Lepisosteus oculatus: one gene and its partner. The protein of the gene in region 2 interacts with the protein of the main gene of each other region in a pairwise test. Links are inferred from orthologs where the notes say so. Each region holds a gene or a part of one and is shown on either strand. Other genes may lie near its edges.

Region 1 (7,789 bases), on a different chromosome or scaffold from region 2:
TGGCTTGTGTTTCAAGTTTGATTCTGACTATTGCCAGTGCCTTTGAATGCTTGAATCGGGTCTCTTTGTAAGAGTTCATTGCTCAGTACTTTTATTCCTCAAAGCACAGAACCATACAGTATACCTGTACCTGATTCCAGAGTCATATCAATTTTGTAATTAACCAAAACGGAGCACAAAATGTGAAATTAGGTCTTACTACTGCATTCTTTAATTTTAAGTACATTTTACAGTACATTGTACAGTTTTAATCACATTTTGAAACAATTTGTCTTTTTCATTGTCCCCCCAGATTTTCTAAAAGATAGAAATAGTGTCAATATAATCTTCTGAGTCAACATCTAAGTGTTTTCAATAGATTGCTCACTTTTGAATTGTCTCTAAATTTTCCTGTCTTTTCCCGCAAATCTACCTATTTTGGTATCATCTGTGACCATGATTTATTGATTAATTTTGCCAGAATTGAGAACAGTGATATAAATTAAGAATAACTGTGATCCCTATACAGATTCATGTGAATTAAGACCAAAGTACAACATTTGCAACTATGTTATTTTACCAATAACTAATATAAATTAGAATAATTTAAAATCTGTAGCATATTCCCAGATGTACAGGGACTGGCCACAGTTAGAACACCAGTATTAATAAGGGAAGGATATTTTTCTGAGACTGAAGCCTATACAAGCAGTCACACAGATACATTATTGCTTCATGTGAGTTAATACGTTCCTGCTGGAAATGGGGGCGTAATCAATTCAGTGGCTTTGAGTACAAATTTAGAAAAAAAAATCCTCTGGTCAGAAGTCAATGGCATCGACTGTGTCAGATCACATTACTGTGCTCAACCGCTGATAGTTTCCTGTTTTTCCTGCTTCAGAAAAGTAAGCCAACTGTTAAGTTCATTGAACTGTTCTGCATGCTATAAAATGGAAATAGTCAGGCTTATACATCAGCCTTCTTAAAAAGTGTACTAAATGCATAGGGGCTGATTCACACAAGGCTGTAGTGTGATAGGACATGTATAAGCTCAAGGGGAAACAGCATACACACAAACCACAGACTGAAGTGTTTCCAAGCCCTACATGCATGTGCATGTTCTAAAAACAAATTTCATTTAAATGTTATGGCTCTGCTAATTGCACTGCAAGGCATTCAAATGATGTTGAAGGACAAAGTAACCAGAGTCATGATATGCGCTTGCTATTCGCAAACACTCTGTAGATGGAGTGCCTAATTTACACATACATTTGTACAGATGATAAACAGGTAGAAGGGGCTGAGATCCTTCTTATAAAAAGGAAAAAGAAACGTCCACATCCTGAATGCTCAAAATACATGGATATTTGTTGAATAAGAAAAATCTTGCTATATTGCCAAGTCTGCATCAAACTTTAAGTTAGCACAAGCACTTTAAATTACAGCATAATGACACAAAAACATCTGGATTACATTTTGCAGGGCAGCGTAGTGTTCACATTTATTTAACAGTTCATTAGTTAAATTGTACTTTTCTGTGTTATTTTATCCTCTGTGCATTGGTAGTCACCATTATTTTACTGTAAGACTGTGAAATGCCAGTATTTTAATCATTGCAGATCTATTAATACATATTATGTGTTTGCATTAAACTAACCTAAAGTAACACTTTAAGCACCCTAAACAGTAAGTCATGATTATTCTAAAAATAAACCTTTAATGGTATTTATTGGGAGTTTACAGTTGTTGACAACACAGTCAGATGTTTTAGGCTAGCTGCTCTTTATGATCAATTAGACTAAATCCCAAATCATTGTGAGTCACTCTAAGTGACTGTTGTGGACTGAACAGCGCAGAGGTTGCTATGATAAAATGTTCCCCTGGGTCCAAATGCTAGCTTAATTTGTTATCTGTTTCCATTTATGTGTTTTTGCTGTACCCATGACTTGACCTATAAAAGGAGTTTTTTCCCCATCTTTCTGTCTAAATGCTGTTTTTCCCCATTACTTCAAAAATTCAAAATACAATGTATCATAATGTTGGACTGTAAAACAGCAGATGTTTCCTCAATAAATGTTAATTAAATTTAAAATGGTTATATTCTCATTAAATACGACTTAAGACAAATAATAAACTGATGAATAAACTCTAGCTTTTTGACAGAGTACTGGACAAAAGTTATTCACTATAATTCCACCAGGATGTAAATTGGGTGCACTTTGGAAGTGATAAGTTATAAATGTGCTGTACTGTATATGTACGTGGTTAAGTATAGTTTGCCTAAGCTGAATACTGTATATACAGTATGGTATGTAGTCTGGTATATTCAGCATATGACTATCATTCCATTACTATATATTTTAAATTATTGCTTAGTTAAGAACAACACGTTCTTTGTTTAATGTAATTTTAACGTAACATCACACATGCCATTTAGTTAAGAAACCAAGAAAGATAAATACTTTAAGTTTGGAGTTACCTATGTTTTTAGTTTTCATTTCTAATTGTAATAACAAACACCATGAATAGAATATGAGAGACATGCTTTCTAACTGTGCCATACACATTTTTGCTCACAGTCTTGTACGGATTTCATAAATGTAAAGAGCTGATGTTGATAGAATAGGACTTAAGTGTTTCTAATCGGGTCTAAAGCACAGTATTACTGTTGATTTGTTACCATTAGTTCTCACCTCCACTGAAATCATGGTCCCACAGTAGTGAGTTTACTGCCAATCCAGGTCTTCTGGTCTGCTGTTGGTCTTCAGTTTTCCTGTTTGATGCATTCGGGACCCTTTTAAATTTGAACATATTAGTTTTATTATTATTCTCTGTCAGCCTATTGCATCATTTGTTTGTTTGTTTGTTTGTTTGTTTGTTTTGGTGTGAACAGGTACTATATACTGTACGCCAGAACATCCCATGGGTGTAGTCCCACCATGGTTTGGTTCACACCACACCTACTGCAGGTGTCCTGTTTTCCCATGTACATAATGTAACCTGCACGTTTGCTGTATATTTAGAGACATTCGGTGTTGACTAGATTATCGGAATATAAAGTGGTTTATGATATTTACATTCTGCTTAATGAGCTTATCTGGTTAAGTCTGTTGGCTACAATGATTTCCTTTTATGATGCTATAATCTGGGTTTTGCTATAATCAGTCTCTGCTCCTGTGTGTGTGATCACAGATTTGTGGGTTTTGTAAGTCTAACTAGATATTGTACTGACTATGCATTCCTATATTTTCTATATTATAGTTTTACAAGTTATCAGTATCCCCTTTCCCTGACCTTTCTGTTTGACTCTGTTCATCTGCCTCTGCTGCTCTGTCGCTCAAGTGGAGTTAAAGCTCCAGTAGCTGTTTTTGTAGGTCAGGTCAAAAGTTGTGAAACCTCAGATTCCAACAGATCTTGGCAGGTGTTTATTTTCTGCCTTTAGGCATCAGTTTGAATAATATACTGGCTTTGCTGTAAAGAATTTTTATCTCGTTCACATTCCAGTTTACAATATTAAAAATATGTAAAGTGAAGGAACCTGTTCTCTTGATTGTTGCATTTTGCATGTTATCGTCTTTCTAGGTGACAGAGCCTTTGGTGTTGAAATGTTAGCTGATGCCACTGTGAAAGTTGTATCTGCAGGTATAAAGAGGGCCAAAGGTCAAACAGAACAGGTGAGATAATAGTCTCCGTAAAATGTACTGTACCTCAAGTTAATGTTTCAGATTTCCACATAACTATGGTAGTATTCATAAAGCTAATCAATGTTAGAGAAAGTTTATTCACGTTCAATACCTTCAGAATGTATTATAGTTTATTTACTCTCAAACACCTTTCTATTCTCTGTATTTATTGTGCTAAGTATTTTTTATTATGTATTTATATATTATATGGAACCAATAGCATACATAAGCATGACGTACCTGTATATGTTAGGAAAATTGCATTGTATTTAAAGTGATTTTAGTAACTGGTTGCTAATGTTCTGTGTTGTTTTAATGGGTGATAGTTTGATAGTATGATTTGGAGGACTAAGGGACCATGAGAACACATTCATTCCTAAAGTCAATGGTGTTTAATCAATAACGTAATGTTCAATTCCCTTTTTTTGGCTTGGTGTTAAACGCATTGCCACATTGAAGCTTGTGGTGAGTGAGATACACATCTGTGAGAAGCAAGATTATTTACCCAGAACAAAGCAACAAGAATCACACAGAACTACAGTAAGCACATAAGTGAACCAAAATACAAGCAGAGTGTGAAATGACAGGTTTTACAGAGGAAGACTTGGACAACTTCCTACAAAACCAGGTAAATAATCTGAAGTCTTTTTTGGAAAAAAATATTTTAAAATGATTTAATGTTCTCTTTCCCTCTCTTGTGTCTCTTTTGGTTAAAACATTACTACTTTATTTATACAGTTAATGCAGTATAATATATAATATAATATAATAAATTGGCTCAGGGTGTGGTAAGATTGTAATCTTAATAAATTACATAAAATTATATTATCAGAAAGACTATTTTATCAGGTTTCTTTCTAAAATGATTAGGATTGTAGCTGCTCAATATACAACAATGTGTAAATGTGCTGCATGATGTGTACAGTATTTATGTATTTCATTGATTCTGCAAGAGTGACCAGTATTGTACTAGAGGATTGCAATGTGGTGATCAGTATTTTATTATCCAATAGTTGATTTGGTATCAATCAGGAAATATTTGCATATATGCATTACAATGATATTTAATGAAGAATTAAATATAAGGTGTGTCATATTGCAAGGCAAGTTCCAGATTATTTACCCAATCCCAATTACCAAATTTTATATTAAGCAAATACTACCCAATTACCCAGTCTATTTTAACCTAATCCTTTAATTAGTCTCAACTTTCCTTTAATTTTATTTGAGCAATAAAAAACATTATTTTGAACACCAATTAAGGATATGACTTTATGAAATATAAAATTATCTAAAACAGGTAACAGTATTTTTTGTATGGCTAGATGTTGCATTTATCACTCTAATACTAAACCTTTATTTTATACACAGTAGGGTCTTTCATGCCAATACATCAGTACAGATGTAAACAATCAACACCTCATAAAAAAAACATGTTGAAAAAAGAACAAAATATAAAAATAAGTATGAGCTAGCCTTCGAAGATAAATAATGTACTGTATATTCCTTGTATAAATGTAATTTATCGTTTAAGAAAAGAAGAAGGTGATTGATGGAACAGCACTTCAGAAACTTAAAAATAACAAATGTTTGTCTTTTTCTTAACCCAGAGTTAGAGTGGTCATGTGGAAACTGTGGTAATGGAAATTGTATTACAACTGCATGTAAACTGAAATAAAATTAATTAAATTCAGTTTTTGACTTAAACTTTGAATATCATAAATACCTTATTCAACATGTTGATCAAAAGTCATTTATCGTAATTCTAAACTTCATTTAAAGGTACATGTAATGCACACCCACCCTAGCTTTTTTGATAACCTACAGTATAACATTTGTTCTGCTTATTTTCCTTTCAAGCTGAAAAATAACGGTTCAGTCATTAAGCCCCTGCTCTGTCTCGTGAATGACATTCTTATTGTATCATAACATTGGTTTTGTTACATTACAACAAAACAAATCATATTCTCAACTCTGCTTTTTTTTTGCTGGTAGTCAGTACGTCCAGTTAAAAACTTTCTGATAAAATGATTTACGTTTTTTAGTTTGCATTGCTGTTGTATGTCACACCGTATTGTATGAGTAAACTTTATCAATGTAATTGTGGGCTGAGGAGGTGGCTGTGTGATAGGTTTTGGGCCGAGAGGCAAGAATGGCAAAGAATAATGTTCCTGGAGAGTTTGCTATTGGCCGACAAACTGAGAACATGCCAGCAGCTCTGGCACTTTCCCAGCAGAGGGAATGGTAGGTTTCCTGTGGCCTTGTGGCTCTGAATGCCCCTTTCTGCAGGTGGATCTCCGACACCGTCAGGTGTCCAAGACAGTGGACGAGGTTCAGCAGATCATCAAGGACCTGACCTCAGAGGTGAGCACCAAGGATGGCCGATTTCAGAGCATCTCCAACTCTGGTGTCCACAATGATAATATAAAGGTACATTTTATATATCCTTTTTGGTACATCTGTATAACTTGTTTACCATGTTACCTGAGAAGCAGGGTAGTGCCTCAAAGGTTGGACCCAAATACTAGCCACAGATTAATAAAGGACATTCGTAATGACTGTAATGTATTACTGGAAGAAAATAAGGTAGAAGAAATTCAAATTAATATTATTGTATGTGCCTACATTAGTATTTTACAATTAAGAAGTCTGGCTTATACCAATTCTGCCGTAAATGTATTTTGTTGCATTGCTGTAATAGGAGTAAAGAGGTTGTCACAATTACAGGCACCATCAACAGCCTTAACTAGATCTAAATCCAGCACATTCGTATTGACAGCCCTGTAATTAGAGTGTGCAGTTGCAAAGCTCATGCCAGGCACTCTCTGGATCTTTTATTTGCTTTCAGTCTCCAATTTCAGAGTTTTGCCATTTTCGGATGTGGTTTCTTCCTCTCCCTAGTTTTAATTCCAGAACAGTCCCTTCAACACCCCTCCATAGAGGTTTTCTTAAACTGCCAGCATGCCTGTCTTCTTTGTGTTTTTCTTTCTTGGGATTCCTGCTGAAAAGAATTGTTTTTTGTGAAAATCAAATGGAGACCATATTATCTTTGAAACCCAAATTATCATGTACGTTAAAATGGCCAGTGTTTATTAGAAGTTCTATAATAACTGCATACTGTAGAATGTCAATTTTGGGGCACAAGTATCTCCAAAGGGGTTATGTTTAAGGTAGTAAGATGTACAGAATTTCAACACGTAACGGTAGCTGTAGCTTTACTAAAAATGCTGGTTTAAAAACCCTGTTTACTCAATACTGTCCTCTTCTCTGACTCTCTGACTTCACCATGCTTGCCAGGATCAACCTGCTCTAATGGCCAAATGGGCAGCTCTTCTGAGGGGAAAATGTGCATTCAACCCAGCCATCCAGGTAGTGTCTCGTGTCTAAATCAAACCATTTCACTGGAATTTCTGACTGTAGAGAAATACCTGTACATTTCCCGTGAATCTGTCCTGACATTAATGATATTAATATAATTAATCATTGGTACTGTTTTCTGGAATTGAAACACTGTGTACACTTGGAAGGCCACACAGTTTCTGTCCCACTGATTGCTGTATGAAGCCTTTTAGCTCTAAGTTCATTTTTACTTTTAAGCACTTGCTGTTTTGCATTTCTTTTTGTTGAAAGGTGTACACTGTCAAGTATAATCTCATACGCTGTATATTGTACATGTGCGGCTGAGCTGAATTGTATTAATAGAATCTCCAGTATTATAAATATTAGAATGACGTGTGTCAAAAAGTGTGTTTTGCTTAACAATATATTTTCAGTCTCTGTTGTTTTTGAAATGCCGAAGCAGACTTGCTCTCGAACGGCGTGTGCACTTTCTCAAGCGGTGCTGCTCCTGCAGGTCCTCACGCCCGCCCTGTTCCTAATCTCGGTGCCGGTCAGGGGCCTGTGTGGGTACAAGGAGCGCAGGGCCAGGCAGTGGCGGTACTACACCCTGAGCGGCTCCAGGCTGCTTTCTCCAGTGCGTGAGCCCGAGAAGCTGCACCAGTGGCTGGAGCTGGAGAACTTCTGCAGCCCCTCGCAGGAGTGGCACGACTCCAGAGTGGCCATTGAAGGGGACATTGTGCCTGCCAAAGTGGTGAACCTCTTCAAGGAGCTCCTGGAAGCCGCCATCC
Region 2 (8,157 bases):
ACAGCAGCAGCCCGCCTGGGATTAGAACTCGCAGCCTTCCACTGCCACGTCCGCTGTGCCGCACTGCAGTTCTCTAATAACATCCTTCAGAACTCCTCTCTGCTCACCCAGCAATCACCCGCTTCCCCGCGCACTCTGCCCTGCTGCTCCACTGTCACTGTGCACACTATACTGTGCCTATGGGACGTCAGTCCTGCACAAGACCACAGCAACTAAACTGCTGGCCTTTACAATGCAGATGGTAGATCATGCCTTCCTAAAGTCATCAGTTCAATAAATCATAACAATATACGTCTTTTTCAACAGACAGCACCACAACTCCATGATTCTGTTAACACATTGTCACCCAAAACTTATTTGTTCCTCCATTCCACCCTTCCTCATTAGGTTTCCAAGTCTTGGAATTAAGCTGTCATTTTCCAAGGATTTCCTGCAATGTTCAAGAATCCCACTGTTCTTTAACAACTTGTATTTCACTGTCCAGCCTGACACAATACCCTTTGGTGCCGTGCAGGATCAGGTAGGGGATGAAACAGAATACTTATTCTCTGTCTTTGTAGCACAGCTGCAGGATAACAGCCCTTTGCTCAGCCCTAAATGAAACCAGCATCTGAAACCCACTGATAAGAGGCTTGTGGTAGGGAGACTGAAGATTCGGGTTTTATAAAGGCCAGCCTCTCTAAATGCTAAGTGGGCCAGAGATAAACCTGAGCTGACAGGTGGAATCAGTCAGATGGGAAGAGCTTGCTGCCGTCAAGGGCTCTGGTACCACAGAGCATTCCCCTTTAAGGCAATACTTTACACTGCCTCATTAATCTATTGCAAAAAAAAGGCTATAAATAAAATATGATACCGGCTTCTTGTGTCCTTGTCCGATAGGCACCAAACAACACCTACATTTTCCTTTTCCAAGTGACACCTTGGCCAGTCTGTGATCACAGGGTTCGCTCTGTTCAGCACTGGAGGTGAAGAGCCCTCCCAGGAGTCTCAGGGCTGAAGGCGTCCCAGCAACTCAAGGGCTTCTGCTGTCATGCCACTGTTTCACACACTCAGCAGCCAGGCCATCTCACAAAGCCAGCAGAAGGGCTACACAGGGGCACCCCGGTGAGCTTTAGCACTGTAGGTCATCGTCCAGCTACTGCCTGAAGGCTGCCAGCAGTCAACTTGAACAACAAAGCAGACAGCTTGTTCTGTCCGGCAGACTGTGTGTTTAGAACAAGGGCCTTCTACATTTGGGTCACTGTTTAGCTTGAAGAAGTCATCTGGGTCGGTTCTGTCCACACCTATAATAAACAAAACTAAAGAGACTGAGTTCCTTTAACCCTTCTGCGTGTGAGGTCACAGAGGCAAGGATGGTGGAATGTAGCAAAGTCTTCTTTCTTGTATTTTAGTAACCTGTCCTTACTGTGGTAAAGGTTTGTACCTCAAAGTCATTGTCATAACATTCTGTTCCACATTGTTAGAGAGTTGACAACCCTGCACCCAGCTTGAAAAGTACCACACTGTTAGCAAGCATTGTTCTTAATAAGGCCTGACTCAGACGCTCGAGCCCAAAGCTGGAGCAGATGTACCACAGGTGCAGAAATATGTAGGGCAAAAAAAAACAGCTCGAGTTTGGGGATATTTATTTTAATATGGTGGGGCTCTGTATGACTTCCAGTGTGGATTTCCTAACTGTTCAGTAGAGCGAGTGAAGACAGTCCCACCCGGGCTCAAGGTCAGAGGGATTTTCTGCACGACGCGGAGTAGGCACAAATCATTCTCACTGCCCCTCACAGATCCAGGACATCGCCCTCTACCGCCATTTGACGGCACTGCAGAAGAAACCACAGGGCGGATTTTAAACTGCGCTTGATCTCAAAGCGCAAAACCGCGACCTGAACACTGAACGTTATCTCGGATTTTAATGGAACAGTCATAATGAATGTGCATGGTAAGCTGTAGTTTTGTCTTTACAATATTAGGAACCCAATGAAATAGGCAAGCTGCATACAACACGTTAATTTTAGTCCCTAACTTTCTATTACTCAAGCCTCTACTAAAAGCATCTAGGGGAGTAATCCCAAATGAAAGATTTTAATTGCACATTCCTTCTCCCGATCGTTACAAGCTCAGTTGCGGAAGGAGGGGGCTAAACATTACCGGGGGATGTTAAGCGCGCACCGTGACACCCACGGAGAGCGCCGCTCTGCCGCACGGTGACCAGCCGGTTCCCCGCTGACTCCGGCGCTCTGCCGGTGTCGACTCGCGACCCAACCCACTTCACTCTGATCAAAAACACCGCCACTGTCTTCATTTGGATTTTAAAATACCGGCCGAGCCATACCGCGGCACCGAAACCCCAAGATAAAGACATCGTACTGCGATATTGATCGCACCATCAAAGGGCTCCTTCCATCCCGACGCGAGAACTCGACAGCACATAATTACGCACTTCAAAGTGTGGAGAGTTCCTCAACAATATTTTTAATCTGCCCCTTAGTAAGAGCCTTATAACACATTTCAATACATGCAATTGCGATCGCCGGTGCTGTTCCGATCTGTTGCGAAGCCTGGAGTCTCACACGATGTTGTAAAACTAAAACCGGTTGTTTTGTTCGTGCTTTCACTGCTCAGAAAACAACACTACAGCAAATAGCAAAATCGCTGAAGAGTTTCTATATATACTTATGCGTTATTGTGTGGTGTGGTGCTTTTAAGTAAACGTGATGATAAACAGCGTTTAGTTCGAAGTTTCTGCCTCCAAGTAGACCTGACAACAGTGCAGGTATGGTACACCGGCAATCCCGAGCTGTAATCAAATGATTTAGCTACATCAAAATAAATAACAACAAGCAAACTGGTTCCGTAAACTTACCAACTAGTACACGCAAGTCTTCATCCGAAGATCCAAGACCGTACTTTTGCAAAGAGCGTAGAGAGAGAGGGGAAGAGTTCAGTTCCCAGGCATGCGAAATCCGCGGTGTTGAGTTTTATTGTGACGGAATTTGTGGGTCTGCCAGCAAGTTTCAGAACAGCCTCGCGGCGGTCCGAGCGAAGACTCTCACAGCACCAGACTTCCCATCGCCCTGCACTTCCCTGTGGAGCTGACGGGCAAACACGAGCGCCTTCGCTCGTCTCCCGGCAGGACCCAGCCCCCACCGGTCTGCGCACCGCCGCTGGCTGGAGAGACAGCCGGCCTGCTCTCCCTCACACCGGGGCTCGGGCAGGGGGAGGGGGGCCGCAGGGGGGTGCGGACTGCCGACCTCAGCGTCCTGAAGAAGCCAGCTGTTACACTGTAAATTGTTCCCACTACAAAATAATGCTCGCATTGAACATCGTCTGTTCATCTTAGTACATTCAGATTCATACAGTACCTGTATGAATCTGAATGAAAAACCCGAGAGATCACGTTTACTTTGGCAAAAGTATTTTCAGTCTCATCCCATTCTTCGCTGAAATGCTTAAATTAGCCATTTTTTTTCCCACCCGAGCTCATACTGTCGATTCCGGGTGATTACACACAGAAAAGCATATAAACCAAGCATTTAAGAATGGTCTGTTCCCACGAGTAACGTTTTGTAGATAATAAACGGCTTATCCCAGTTATCCTAAAATCGAGTTTCTCTTTGAGAAAGCTATTTTATTGAAAATAAGAATCGGGAAACACGTAAGTTTTGGTATCCAGTATTTTAGGGTAAGATTGCGGTTCAATAAATGTTATTTTGTTTTTTATAGTATATTAAAGCATTAGAGGAAAACTATTAGCAATAGTGGTATTAAACATCATCTTTATCCAGATAATTTAGAATAAGTACTCTTTTATACTCTTTTATAGTAATGACATGGCCAAGAAGCTCACACTATTGTGGCTCAGGAAACAAAGCACAAGAAGAAATAAAGGAACAATCAATAAAGTTAATCAATAATCAATACAGTGGCTCTGTGGCTAAGGATCTGCCCCTGTGACCAAAAGGTTGCTGGTTCAAATCCTGCAGCTGGCAGAGGAATCCTACCCTGTTGGGCTCCTGAGCAAGGCCCTTAACCCCAACCCCTTCCCCTCCCTGCGCTCTGACCCCAGGCTCTCTCTCTCTCTGTGTCTCATGGAGAGCAAGCTGGGGTATGCCAAAAGATAATTCCTAATGCAAGAAATTGTAAAGGGTTAATAAAGTTGTTGTTATTATTATTATTATACAACAGGACATTGTATTATTAACTGTAGATGTCAATCGGAAAGGATACACCTGAATTTAGAGATACCCATTAACCTACCTAACTCACCAAAGTACTCACAGAAACCTCATGTTGACAGCATGCAGACTCCACATAGAAGGTACCTCAACAAGAATCAAAGTTGGAATAGCAGTCCTAACCACCACACCTCTGTGCTGACGCTAATAAAGTCATTTTACTTCAAACTGTCATATATCTGTTCATGAAAACAAGTTCCACTCCTGATGATCTGTAAAACATCATAGTGGTAATATCTCAGTGTTTGAACTGCTATACTCATCAGCCAAAAACATTAGGAACCCTGCTACATAGCATTTTTACTTACACTGTGGCTTTGTGGCTTGTAAATGACACCTTATAAACATGTAACAAACAAGACATAAACACTCGGTTGTCAATCACTAACACATTTGCACATAAAGACAAGTGTTTTGTTACTAATCATGATTAATCTTTAATAGGATTGGTAACTACCGGGTTATTCATTATTCAGACTGTAGGTGACCTTTCAATCTATTACAGGTTCTAAAGAATTTCTAATGGAATTTGCAGCTCCTGTTTAGTATCAGAAAATATAAAGGACGGTTTGAACAGGATGTAGCATGCATTTCCATACTTGAACCACATTACATTACTTTATTTTGTAAGTATTTGCAGCCCAATCCCTTTGGGCGATGATGAGCTTTGAACCACTTGAGCTGCCAGTTCTTGGTAGGACTGAGACCTGGGGATTGGTCTGGCATTGGAAAGTGAAGAGCAGCTTTCTCACACCCCTGAGACAAACAAATTATATTGACAGAGAGCCTATTCGTCTGGCCTGAGGGTTTCTGATGTTGTGAGTCTACATTGACAGCAGCAGGGAGTCTTAGCACCTCGGCATGGTTTTATTGTCATTTACCAATAACATTTTCAACCACCAAGACTCTCTGGGTTCGAAGGCGGGTCATGTTACTACCCAGCTGTGGGCAGAATTCCCCACGTGGCAGTGCACAAAGGGCTGGGTGAAGGAGCCCGTCTCTGCTTATTTGCCCCATGCTGGTGTAGGGGTTGTCGCCCTTGATTAGGCAGATAAAGCAGGCTGACGGTGGCATCAGTGCCATCTAGCCCAGTGGCAGTCAACCTTGGCATCTGGATTGCATGCCACTGTAGGTCTGTGCTCCAGCTATTCCATCATTTTAAACAGGCGCTGTCCTTCGGATGAGACGTAAAACCGAGATCCTGACTCTCTGTGGTCATTTTTAAAAATCCCAGGGTGTTTCTCGAAAAGAGTAGGGGTGTAACCCTGGCGTCCTGGCCAAATTTCCCATTGGCCCTTACCAATCATGCCTCCTAGTTATCCACCTCTATGAATTGGCTTCATGACTCTGTTCTCCTCCCCACTGATAGCTGATGTGTGGTGAGCGTTGTGGCGCACTATGGCTGCCGTCACATCATCCAGGTGGGGCTGCACATTGGTGGTGGTGGAGGGGAGTCCCCATTACCTGTAAAGCGCTTTGAGTGGAGTGTCCAGAAAAGCGCTATATTAGTGTAAGCAATTATTATTATTATTATTATTATTATTATTATTATTATTATTATTATTATTATTTTCAAACTGATTGGCGGCACCTGGGTCATTAAGCAATTGAGAATCATTTCAGCACTAGATGTATTGAAAGCTTCAAAGTCCTGGAATGACTTGGAAGCCAGGTGCCAAAGTTGGCTGCCTTTGGTCTATACTGATTGCGCCAGATGTCAGAACTTCAGAAAGGCTGTGCCTGGTTAGTGCTGGGAGAGTCAGGTGCACTAGGTTGCCATAATAAGCTGTGTTAGTGGACCAGTAGGTGGACCAGTAGGTGGTGCTATGCCTTCTGGACCAGGGTATGCAAACCAATGTAAGATGACCATGAGCACTGTGATGAAGAGAATGCTGTGTTCTGGAAGAGATTAAACTTAGATCCTGACTGATTGGTCATTAACTATCTCCTGGCATGTCTAGGTCATTTAATGCAATTAAATCTCATAAAACAAAAATAATTGGAGAGTCTAAAATCCATTATAGAGAATTTTAGAAGCTTCATGTACAAGAAAAAGATCTGCATAATGAAGATCATGCCAGTCTTCGATCGTTAAACTCCCGATGGGAATAGGTGTCTCGCCATTATTCAGCATTGCTATAAACAGAAGGGCAGGCTGATTTTATTTAAACGTCCATTATTATGTGATATCTTCAGCAGGGCAAATGGAGATGGGTGCTTGGCAATTAAATAAGAGGAATAACAAACTTGATTTCTTAGGGTGACCGAGAGGTGCAGTGTTTGGAATATCACCTTGTGACTCCAGATAGTTTTTCTAGAACAAATACATTTCCCTCTGCAGAATGTTCGTGAGAACCCTTGTCCCAGATTTCACACAAACCACACACTGCGTTCCGCCTCATTCAGCACTGTGAGACCAGTTGTTGAAACAAAAAGCTGGCTTCATGTAAAGGCTGTTTATTTTCAGATTGCTGTTATGTGTAGATAACGCTTTTGGTGGTCTATACAGTTTGGGAAAAACTTAGAAATGACAAACAAGCCTTGTTAGAAGCTAAGACAAAGCACGCAACTTTCTGTGTTATGTTAAACCACACTTCAGTTTCAAAAAGTTACACAGGTGTAATGTCTCCTTTAACACCACCTATGAAGCAGCTGAGTGTGTTGAGCTCCACACCAGTCTAAATCTTAAACCCCTTCGCAGCTGAACTCTCCATGACCCTCATTCTGAATGTCATACATTTCACGTCCTGAAACATTGCCCCCTTTAGAGCAATTTTCACGCTTCATTTGAGAGCTTGTTTTTCAAGTGTGATTTTATTATTGCTAATATTAATAACACACAGTTGGAAAATTGAATTTGCATATGAGCCGTTGTGCACAATTCACACCAGAGCTGTAAAGCCTAGGCTGCACAGCCAGAGGTAATAACTATAATTCTCACCCAGTGCTGTTCCTTTGAGAGCCCGGTTTTGGGTCCCCAGGAGTTTTTCTTTCTTAATTTTGGAATCAACATAAATTATTTTAACATTTTACACACAAACAATAAAAAATCACCAGTTTTACAGTCCAGGTGACTTCTATGGCTGTACCAGCACAGGAGAGATATGGACCACATCTGCTTTCCTCCAGCACACAGATTGTGGAGATGACCAGCGCACTCTGTTACGGAAAAGTTACTGCCAGCAGCCATATCACCCTGCAACTCACAACTAGCAGCCCACTGAAGCTAAGCAGGTGTGAGCCTGGTCAGTACCTGGATGGGAGACCTCCTGGGAAAAACTAAGGTTGCTGCTGGAAGAGGTGCTAGGGGGGCCAGATGGGGACACTATACTGTAAACAGGCGCCGTCCTTCGGATGAGATGTAAAACCGAGGTCCTGACTCTCTGTGGTCATTAAAAATCCCAGGGTGTTTCTTGAAAAGAGTAGGGGTGTAACCCTGGCATCCTGGCCAAATTTCCCCATTGGCCTTTATCAATCATGGCCTCCTAACAATCCCCCTCTGTGAATTGGCTTCATTACTCTGCTCTCCTCCCCACTGATAGCTGATGTGTGGTGAGCATTCTGGCGCACTATGGCTGCGTCACATCATCCAGGTGGATGCTGCACATTGGTGGTGGTGGAGTCCCCATTACCTGTAAAGTGCTTTGAGTGGAGTGTCCAGAAAAAGCGCTATATAAGTGTAAGCAATTATTATTATTATTAATTAAAGAAAAGAGGGATGCGTCTCTCCACGGAGACTCCGGGGGTCACTATTGCACAGCAGGCTGAAGACACCCTATTGTTGCAGGGGTGAGCAGTCCACACCTGGAGGGCTTATGTGCTGCCTTTCATTCCAACTCAGCTCTTAATGAGCCCAGTGAGCTCAATCAATCGATATTGGCCTCCAGGATCAGGCCTGGACACCCTCCCCTTGCAGAACTGAGTCCAT

What was found. The genes of interacting proteins can lie anywhere in the genome.
Region 1: the proteins of leucine zipper putative tumor suppressor 2 homolog (region 2) and mab21l3 interact in binary tests that used the Homo sapiens proteins (3 or more experiments, as listed by UniProt). The two-hybrid records come from large-scale screens. The link is inferred for Lepisosteus oculatus from reciprocal best matches to the Homo sapiens genes LZTS2 and MAB21L3.

What each region holds. Positions count from the first base shown.
Region 1 is NC_090710.1:33,056,584-33,064,372, reverse strand, and holds the start of mab21l3 (protein mab-21-like 3), read left to right. Parts: upstream 1-4,137; 5' UTR 4,138-4,242; coding exon 4,243-4,290; intron 4,291-5,951; coding exon 5,952-6,092; intron 6,093-6,959; coding exon 6,960-7,031; intron 7,032-7,515; coding exon 7,516-7,789.
Region 2 is NC_090699.1:45,524,927-45,533,083, reverse strand, and holds the start of leucine zipper putative tumor suppressor 2 homolog, read right to left. Parts: upstream 3,204-8,157; 5' UTR 2,858-3,203; intron 1,284-2,857; 5' UTR 898-1,283; intron 1-897. UniProt on the Homo sapiens protein: Negative regulator of katanin-mediated microtubule severing and release from the centrosome. Required for central spindle formation and the completion of cytokinesis.